Coturnix japonica: one gene and its partner. The protein of the gene in region 1 purifies or fractionates together with the protein of each later gene. This does not show direct contact. Links are inferred from orthologs where the notes say so. Each region holds a gene or a part of one and is shown on either strand. Other genes may lie near its edges.

The links.
Region 2: the proteins of SELENOS (region 1) and DERL1 purify together in Homo sapiens (affinity purification with western blotting; 6 studies listed by BioGRID and IntAct, with this or other methods). This does not show direct contact. The link is inferred for Coturnix japonica from reciprocal best matches to the Homo sapiens genes SELENOS and DERL1.

Annotation. Positions count from the first base shown.
Region 1 is NC_029525.1:15,969,301-15,973,695, forward strand, and holds the start of SELENOS (selenoprotein S), read right to left. Parts: upstream 3,228-4,395; 5' UTR 3,180-3,227; coding exon 3,092-3,179; intron 2,886-3,091; coding exon 2,751-2,885; intron 1,620-2,750; coding exon 1,513-1,619; intron 958-1,512; coding exon 868-957; intron 771-867; coding exon 692-770; intron 271-691; coding exon of another isoform or gene 257-270; exon of another isoform or gene 212-256; intron 1-211. Other genes in the region: SNRPA1 (U2 small nuclear ribonucleoprotein A'), read right to left, coding at 3,490-3,548, 3,648-3,741, 3,896-3,971. UniProt on the Homo sapiens protein: Involved in the degradation process of misfolded endoplasmic reticulum (ER) luminal proteins. Participates in the transfer of misfolded proteins from the ER to the cytosol, where they are destroyed by the proteasome in a ubiquitin-dependent manner.
Region 2 is NC_029517.1:124,321,995-124,326,932, forward strand, and holds the start of DERL1 (derlin-1), read right to left. Parts: upstream 2,960-4,938; 5' UTR 2,834-2,959; coding exon 2,681-2,833; intron 1,289-2,680; coding exon 1,177-1,288; intron 1-1,176. Other genes in the region: TBC1D31 (TBC1 domain family member 31), read left to right, coding at 3,211-3,284, 3,984-4,130. UniProt on the Homo sapiens protein: Functional component of endoplasmic reticulum-associated degradation (ERAD) for misfolded lumenal proteins. Forms homotetramers which encircle a large channel traversing the endoplasmic reticulum (ER) membrane.

The sequences.
Region 1 (4,395 bases):
CCAAGAGGAGAGAAAGGAGAGCAGCTGCACAGCTGATTGACAGCAGTGATCCTTATGTGAAGGATTTAAGGGTACAGACAAGAATTATTAATCCATCAGGACAAATTTCAGTGGTTGACAGTGAGTTTAGTGCTAAGACAGTAATGGTGGATTGCAGAGTTGGTAGCAATTCTATGGATCAGCAGGATTTGTACATCCAAGAGGTCATTACCTCAACACCTGACAAACAAGGTCATATTCTCCTTAATGGAACGTCTCAATGGACAGAATCTACATAATAGAAAGTAAGATATATTCTTCTTACATTTAATTATTATTACAGGTGACTGAAGGACAGACCAAATTAAACAATATGACTTTCAAACCATGAAGGAGGAGACCCAGAAGCACTGCAAGAACCTGCAGTTTTAGTCACAATAATCTCGGTGAGTTGTGGCCAAAATGCTGCCTCTCCCTGGGGAAACACATGAGGGAACTTCCTGCTGCTCTGCCCCAGCTTCACACAGACCACAATGGGTAAAGCTAAAGCACTTACATGGAAGGCACATTTTGTTTCCTCCTTCAATAAGAGGAAAATTATGGGTAATTATAATAATGATGATAATGACTTTGTACACAAGGACACGAGCTGTATGTTGAGCTGCATGCAGCTCTGTCTGAAGATAGAACACCTCAAGGATTCCCTACTTACCACCTCCTCGCAAGGGCTTCTTGTTTGGTTTAGATTTCGGGACTGCTGATGAGGTGGAGGCACCAGGTTCTGCTTCTTGCTGTTCACAAAAGCAAATATTACTCAGAATTCAGTCAACATGAAGTCCAGATAATCTAATGACACACACGTAACCTGATGAATGACACGGCTGTTACCTGACTCAGCTTCAGGTTTCCTTTATAACTTTTTCCTTCCTGCATACTTTCCCACATTTCTATCTTCTGCCTTCGCTTCTGTTCTTCAAGCTAAGAAACAAAAGGAGAATACATCAGACTAAGATTTTAGAATGATCAGAATTGCCATTGCTACAGAAACAGCTACAACAGGATTCATGAAAACCACTGGATCCCTCTTTACCTGATGCAGTATCACATCAAAGAACTCGGATTAATGAGAAATATTACTGTTCTGCTGATCACATTGATTTACAGCTCCAAGATAGCAAGGCCCAAAGCATTCCAGCCACACAAATTCTTGCAGGGAAGCATTAATCACTTCAAGAATGAGCAAAACACTGAACGTATCAATCACTCTAATTAACTAAGTGCAGGAGGACCTCAGGTCAGCGCATCATACAAGTGCACTGAATGGCCATCACGATACCTAACGCCTGTTATCACAAAGTGTATCAAGCCATATGAAAAGCAGATCAGGTGAAGGAGGGAGAAAAATCCCATCACCCCCATTCCAGCAGAGAGATCCTATTCTGGTATCCAGAACCGTATACAGCTTTCTACAACTTTCAGCAAAGCACCTGATGACAAGTCAGTGAGTTAAAGAAAGAAATACTCTCCGGTTACCTGTCTTTGTTTTTCTTTGTATCTTTCTGCTTGTGCATTCAACTCCTCCTGCATCCTGAGACGAGATGCCAACAAAGCTTCTTGTCTTCTTACCACCATGTCAGGCTCTGGGGAATAGGCAGAGAGTTTGCAAAGCAGCTCAGAACAGACTCTAACTGGAACCCTCAAAGAACTGCAATAAGGAAAGGCACACACCTCCCACTGCAGCAGCCCCACAGAAAATCACAGCTCAAGTTCAGTGATTTCTTACATTAACTCATATGCTGATCTAAATTTCTTATTTGAATATTTTAGAGCTGTTATTTGATGGGTTTTTAATGGATGTGGACACTGACGGAACAAACCCATACAAAACTAACATCCGAGCTTTAGGATGTTTGCTTCTATTTCTGGAGGATTTGTTCAATACAAGTAATTTCAGAAATACCATCCATGCATCACAGGAAATCCATTTTTATCCACAGAACCTGTTTGAAGCAGAAGCAGAAGGCAAACAGCCCACATCCACTCCTCCTCCTCCTCCTCAGAACTGCTGCTGCTGCTTGGGTTAAACAGCAAAGCAGTGGCAGATTTAATGTGCTCCATCAGCAGAGAAATTACTCACAAACATCAAACATATCTCAATAGAAAACTGGCAGTCTTGGGAAATCTACGTTAAGAAACCACCTCTGTTCATGATTGGCCTTTAGAAGTTTGGCTTTTTCACACAAAGGATGGTGACACATTGGAACAGGTTGCCCAAGGAGGCTGTGGATGCCCCATTCAAGGCCAGGCTGGATGTGGCTCTGGGCAGCCTGGGCTGCTGGTTGGTGACCTGCACACAGCAGGGGGTTGGAGCTGGATGAGCACTGTGGGCCTTTGCAACCCAGGTCATTCTATCACTCTATGAAGAAGTTAAAAGGAAAACTGGCCCACAGACCACATCCCTCCCCAGTGCCACATCTCCACAGCTCCTGAGCACCTCCAGGACAGCAACTTCACCACCTCCCTGAGCAGCCTGTGCCAATGCACCACTGTTCTTTTCTTCCTGATATCCAACCCAATCCTCCTTTAGCGCAATTTAAGGCCTTTATCTGTCATCTGACCATCTGTCTAACACCTATTGCTGTTACCTGGGAGCAGAAGCTGATCCCCCCCAGCCCCTCACCACAGCCTCTTCTCAGCGACCAGCAGGAAGCAATAACGTTTCCCCCAAGCCTTTTTCTCCACACTGACCCATCCCAGCTCCCCGTACAAACCAACAGCTGCTCCAGCCGCTCCCTGCTGGCTGCTGGACCTCAGCCTCAGCTTTGGGGCCATCTTCTGGACGATGAAATAGATGGCGACGCAGGCCAGGAGGATGTACCAGCCATAGCTGGACAGCAGGGCGCCCACTGGGAAGGGAACAAGGACTCGGTCTCATCCCCTCAGCGCTGCACAAGGACACGGCGGCTCCCATCCCCTCACAGCACCGCAGCTCGTAGGCCCAGCTCCCCCCGCCCCAGGCCTAGTTCTCCTCACCCGCTGCCCCCAAACCCCGCTGTCCCCATCCCATCCCATCCCATATCCCCCATCCCATATCCCATATCCCATATCCCACCCGTGTGCTGTAGCAGCTCGAGTCCCTCCCGTTCCAACGCCGGTTTCCCAGGGCCCGGCCCGGCCCCGCCGCGCTCCCCCAGCTCCATGGCTCCACTGCCGCCTCACGGCCGAGAGCCGCCCCCCCGCCAATCACCGCCCTCCTCGTCCACACCACAACCAATCACCGCCCTCCTCGTCCACACCGCAGCCAATCACCGCCCTCCTCGTCCTCTGCCGCCTCGCGGACAGAACGCCAATCACGAAACGAAAAGGGTGACATCACGGTTACATGAACCAATGGGAATTAGAAAGGAAGTGCAAAGGGACCAATCGCGAAGCCGCCCCCACCCCCCGGGTGCATGAAGCGGGCCGGGCAATGGCGGAGCGGACACGGAGCTTTATTAACGCGGAGCGGGGCTACGGGACCGACGGAACCGGGTCCTCATCCATCTCCTCCTCGTTGTCCTCGGCGGAGCCTGGAAGAGCAGGAAGCAGCACGTCAACCTCGAGGGTTTCAAGTCCCTCCCAGCACACGGAGGTTCACAGTTAAAGAGGGTTTAGCAAAGCAAACCGACCTGCTTTGCGTTCCCTGCCGGGGATCTGGCCGGCCTGCAATAAACCCTTGAGCCGCTCCACCTCGGCCAACGTGGAGGCGTTTGCTATGGCAGCCTGAAAGACAACGGGACATAAAGTGTCAGCACATTGAGAATGAATGAACAGCACTGAGCAACAAAACACCTCGTTGTTAAGCTGGGACGCCTCGTTAAGCTGTGACACCTGAAGGTTCTATGCTTCCCCTCCTGTCTAAGCGCTCTGCACTCACCTTAATCGCCTCCACGTCACCCGGGGACGGCCCGGCTTTCTTCTTGTCTGTAGGCAGAGCAGCGCCTGGATTGAAGCTGCAGAGGGATAAAAGCAAAGAGGGATCGTTAATATCTGGGAGCAACGTGTGCTTCTCTCACTTCCAAAGCAGGTTTGGAAGCGTTTCAATCAATCAAGTGTAGTATCTTCTCTTTGTTAACAAACTGATACAGTGATGAATGGCCTCCTTCAGAAACACCAACCGCTTGGATTTGTCCTCACTGTCCCATCCCCTTCCCCCCCCCCAGATCTTTTCATCTGCTCATAATGAGGCAGACTGGCACCTTAGAATTAAGCGGCTGATGAAAGCTGTTGGATTTGGATGTTGTTGAACCATCACACAAAGCAGAGTGAATGGAATTGGATTTCAGTATCTCACAGGATACTGGGACAGCCTATGTAAAATGAATGGTGGAAGTTCCTTGTGAGTTACCTGCTGCTGCTTAAAGGACAGCAGACGTT
Region 2 (4,938 bases), on another chromosome or scaffold:
TCCAGAAGACTTCTGCCACAGCACAACCAGCATAAACCTTTTGTAGAATACATCCAAGAAGTGATGTCTTATAATTCCTCTATATCCACCATGAACTCTCATTCCATATAGCTTTGTGCAGCTGAATGTCGTGACTGTTCTTACTCACAAGCATGTATTTGTTTATAACCTTCCACCAACAGACCAGGAACTGTTTCTAGTTACTGAACTACAACTACTTTAATTAAGAAAACAACCAAATACAATATGGCATCATGGTCACACTCCTTTATTTCCCTGTTATTCTTATGACTTAAAAGGTACCCCACAAGACTCTCCTAAAGACAGGTTGATGGGGAAAGCTCCCTACAGCAGGTCTTTCCTAATTCCCCCCCTATCTTGCAGAGCATTTCCACTTCAACCATCAGCTTTGAGACTGTATTATTACTACACTGAAATCTCTGCTCAAAAAGGCTTTTAGAAGGATTTTAGCTTTGTAAGTGCTTTGATTATTTAATTGAAACAATTATTGTCTAGCTTCAACAAACTACACAATACAAAAAGACTCATTTGAAGCCACCTTCTAACTTATTTCCCCTTTAAGCAAATTAAAATGAAGATTCTTTTCCACTGTCTGATTTCCTGCCTTCTACCCTCAAGATCCAACTCGTTCCTTAACTTTTCACATGTCTATTTGACAGAAGAGTACACTGCATTTGTAGAGGATCTCTCTCAATTCAAAACAACATAAAGAAGAATACAAATAAGAATCTTTGCCTTTAAAAAGAGAAAAAGCATGACCACTATTTTGTCAAGAAGGATACACCTGTTATTACATATGCTGTATCATACCTTCATATTAAAAGACATTAGACATAAGGAAACAGAAGTAAAACTACCTTTCAGTCTCACTTTCACTTCCTGATATCTGTCAACTAGAAGCACCAATTCCTCCTGCAGAAAGAAGGATCCCAACTGAACAGGCTCCCTGCCCCAAAGTCACAAAGTTCTCAGTGCAGTTTCTCCTTTGACTGACATCAGAGGGCACAGAGATGAGCCCTATTCCTCAGCTCTTTCTGAATCAACCACAGTTCCATTACTCCCAAACAGTCCCAGCAGGAGCTCTGTCTGTCATTGCAAGGACTCCATTAACTCGAGACAGTTTACCATTTGCATACGACTTAATGGACGACGTACCTGTTTCTAAACGTGATGAATATTGATACAGGAAATACAAATTCACCAAGTACAGAAAACCTGTTCCAGGTCCCACCGGGAAGAAGAAAGTTGCTGTTATTGGCCGCCATATCTAAAAAGAGCAAAGAAAAGGACATATTTATATGAATGAGATCATACACAAGGCTTATTAGTTTTAACAGGAAGATTAAGAAATAGATTAAAAATAGCTCAAGTATCACTTACCACTGTTTGAGCAGCCACAACAGTTGCTTCTTAATTTGACAAGCAAATCTATTTAGATTACAACAGCAATCACACAACTTTCCCAAGCACTTCCATAACACCCACACAGCACCGAGTCTTCAGTGCAGCAAAGGAATCTGCTTGCAATCCCATTTTAAAAGGGGATACAGAATTGACTCTGATCTGTTGCACAAGAAGGAGGAAGCCCACACAGCAACCTTCATTGAGCACCTTGCAGCAGCGGCCTGCTTTGGTTTCTTCACTAGAAGGACCTGGGGGTCCTGCAATTGAGAATGAAAGAGTCAACATGAGCGAATGCGCTTTGCAGCCCGGAAAGCAATGGAGAATCCTGGGCTCCATCAGGCGAGGGAAGTGTCAGCAGGCGATAGGGAGGTGATGACTGCAATCCATATAATAACATCTGCTTATTGTTGAGGCCACCCATCTGTTGCACTGTGATCCGTTGTGGAGCCCTCGTAACAAGAAGACATGGAGATTTTGGAAAGCGGTCCGAGGGGCGAGAAGATGAATAAAGAGGGCTGAGAAAGACCTCCCCTGACTGAGGAGACAGGCTGAAGGGAGTTGGGTTGTTCAGCCATAGAGAGGTATGCGAAGGTAGACCTCATATAGATATTCGTACTGGAAGGAACTTACTCCAGGAGGTACTCTTTGAAGGCTGACATAGCAGGACGGGGAATGGTTATTTAAGATTAAAGAGAGGAAGATTTAGGTTGGAGATATAAGGGGAAAGTTCTACTAGGAGAAGTGGTTGGTCCTGGACAGGAGTGAGCAGGGACGGTTGTGGATCCGCACGTCATTGGAGGTGATTCAAACGCAACCAGGCCTTGACGGGGCAACTGGGCAAACTAGATCTAAGCATAAGGTGAATTGTTATGGTGGACCTGCCAGGCAGGAGGAAACATACATGGTTGGAAGCATACATGTCGTTGAAGGATCCTTTCAAACCTGAGACTTCATTCTGCGATTCTGTGTGATTCTGTGATAGAGCTCCGATGCTGACACATAATATGAGTGCAAAGGCACCTCCTCAACTCAAACCACAAAGGTGATGTCCCGGCGTTACACCCTCACAGGTGCCATAGTGGCCGTGTCACCCTGTTGCCGCACTGCCCGTCCCGGACACAGGCCACGGCAGGGAGGCACGGCCGCCTTCTTGCAGCCCCGCACTACAACCCCCAGCATGCCCCGCGCGCCCGGCCCAGGCTCGCCTCAGCGATGGCGCCGCGAAGCACGCTGGGATTGGTAGTGCGGCCCGTACCTGGAAGCGGTTGATGAAAGCGTCGGGCCAAAGGAAGAGGTAGACGGGGCTGACGAGGCCCAACTTGCCGATGAGCGGCACCGCGATGGAGCCGGCGAACCAGTAACGGGTGATGAGAGGGATGCTCCGGAACCAGTCCCCCAAGTCCGACATGTCGCCTCCACCGAGGACTCCCAGGAACCGGGAGCTGAGGGCGCTGTGTGAGCTGAGGGAGCTGAGGGAGCTCAGGGAGCGGTGCCGGAAGGGCCGGGCCACAACCAGACGTGGCGCCGCACAGTTCGACCCATCCGCTGACTTCCGGCCCCGCCTCCAGGCTGCACTGAGAACTACAGCTCCCTGCGTGCCCCGAGATCCAGTCGGGCTGATCCATTCCATGCTGGAGGAGGGGGGGAATCTCCCGCCTTCTTCCCGCCGCTCCCCGTCGGTAAAGGGGGAGCGGGTTGTACCAAGTGTGCGGCACCCCCCGCGGCGGCGGCAGTTGAGAGAGCCCTGAGGGGAGTCGGCGAGCGCGGGAGCGGCGTTGTGTGAGGATGGCGAGCTGCGATGTGGGCTGCAGGGAGCACGGCGCATTATGGCAGCGCAAACACAGCCCGGCAACGGGCGGGTAACAGCGGGGCACGGACAGGCCGAGGGCACGGGGGGATGTGGGTGGCCATAGCTACGTGGCCGTACAGATGTGCACTTGCACTTGGTGTACACACCAGTACCTGCAGACATGTAGTGGTTATATTGCTTTCCAGGCATTCAGTGGCTCAGAGGCATCCCTATTTTACCTTAGTGTGGTCACACTATCCAATATTCTACACAGTTTTAGTTACTTACTCTGACTGACCAGGTTGGACAGGGCCCTGGGCAACCTGATCTAGTAAAGGTGTATGTTTGGTGGCCCTGCCAGGCAGGGGGGTTGGAACTACATGATCCTTGAGGTCCCTTCCAACCCGGCTCATTCTGTGATTCTGTGACTGAATTTACATCCAGATGATGTAGGAGATAACTGGTCATACAATAATACAAATGAAAATCAGGTCACGAGTAGCTGCATAACAGGACCATGAGTGGTGGGATTCCTCCTGCCTGCTTTACTCTCTAACATTATTTTTTCAACATAGCAACTGACTTCCTTTGTTTAGTATATATCTTTTATATTACAAAGACCTATTTCTCGTGGAAGGTTTCTCACAGAACACTACGAATGATTAGAACTGTAAAACAGTGATCAAGGGAGATTTTAATCTTAGGGCTTGGAAAAATACGTGGCTATAAAACAACTCAAAACGATTGTTTTTGTCTGCTTTCTTTACAGGGTTATAGTGAACATCATTCATAGTGCTACAGGGTATCACTCCAAGGCGATACGTTTTCTGAATGTGGCTTTTGACAGCTCTGGAGATTCTCTGCTTGCTGGAGACCACCAAGGAAATATATACGTTTTTGACCTGAATGGAAACAGGTAAGAATACCTATAGAATGCCATTTTAACTGTTTTGATACCTGCAATATTCAGGGTTATGGAAGTTGCCTGTCACTGTGCCACATGTTTGTAACCATTTATTTTCCATGGCTGTGCAGATAGTTGGTGGTTTTCTCAGAGCTGAAGCTGCAAGCCAGTATTTCATGTAGGTTCCCTGTGTACTATTGTATTAGTTAAGCTGCTGCTGCAAAGGATAAGAACTTCGTAACCAAACTGAACAAACATCAATTCCATTTGGTGATGGAAAACTACCAAAGGAGTTGTGCTATCAATTAATAGTACAAGCCAGGAATTACAGCCACCTGGTATTGTCATTTACAGAAATACATTCATAAAATCATAGAATTACCCAGGTTGGAAAAGACCTTGAAGATCATCAAGTCCAACCGCAGCCTAACCAGTACCTTAACTCTAACAACCCTACACTAAATCATATCCCTGAGCACCACAACCAAACGGCTCTTAAACACAACCAGGGATGGCGATTCAACCACCTCCCTTGGAAGCCTATTCCAGTACATAACCACCCTTTCTGTAAAGAAGTTCTTCCTAATATCCAACCTAAACTTGCCCTGGCGCAACTTGAGGCCATATTCATATCTTTTCAAGTGTGTGCTTTCAAGTTGGTACTGCTACTTACACGTAGTATAAGAAGATATGATTTCTTTCCTCTCTTCTTTTGAGTTCATTTTTCTCTTAGTGAAATATATATTGAAACTGATTAACTTAATACCTCACTTGACATTATGAACCAAAGCTTCCTTACACAATGAGAACATGTATTTTT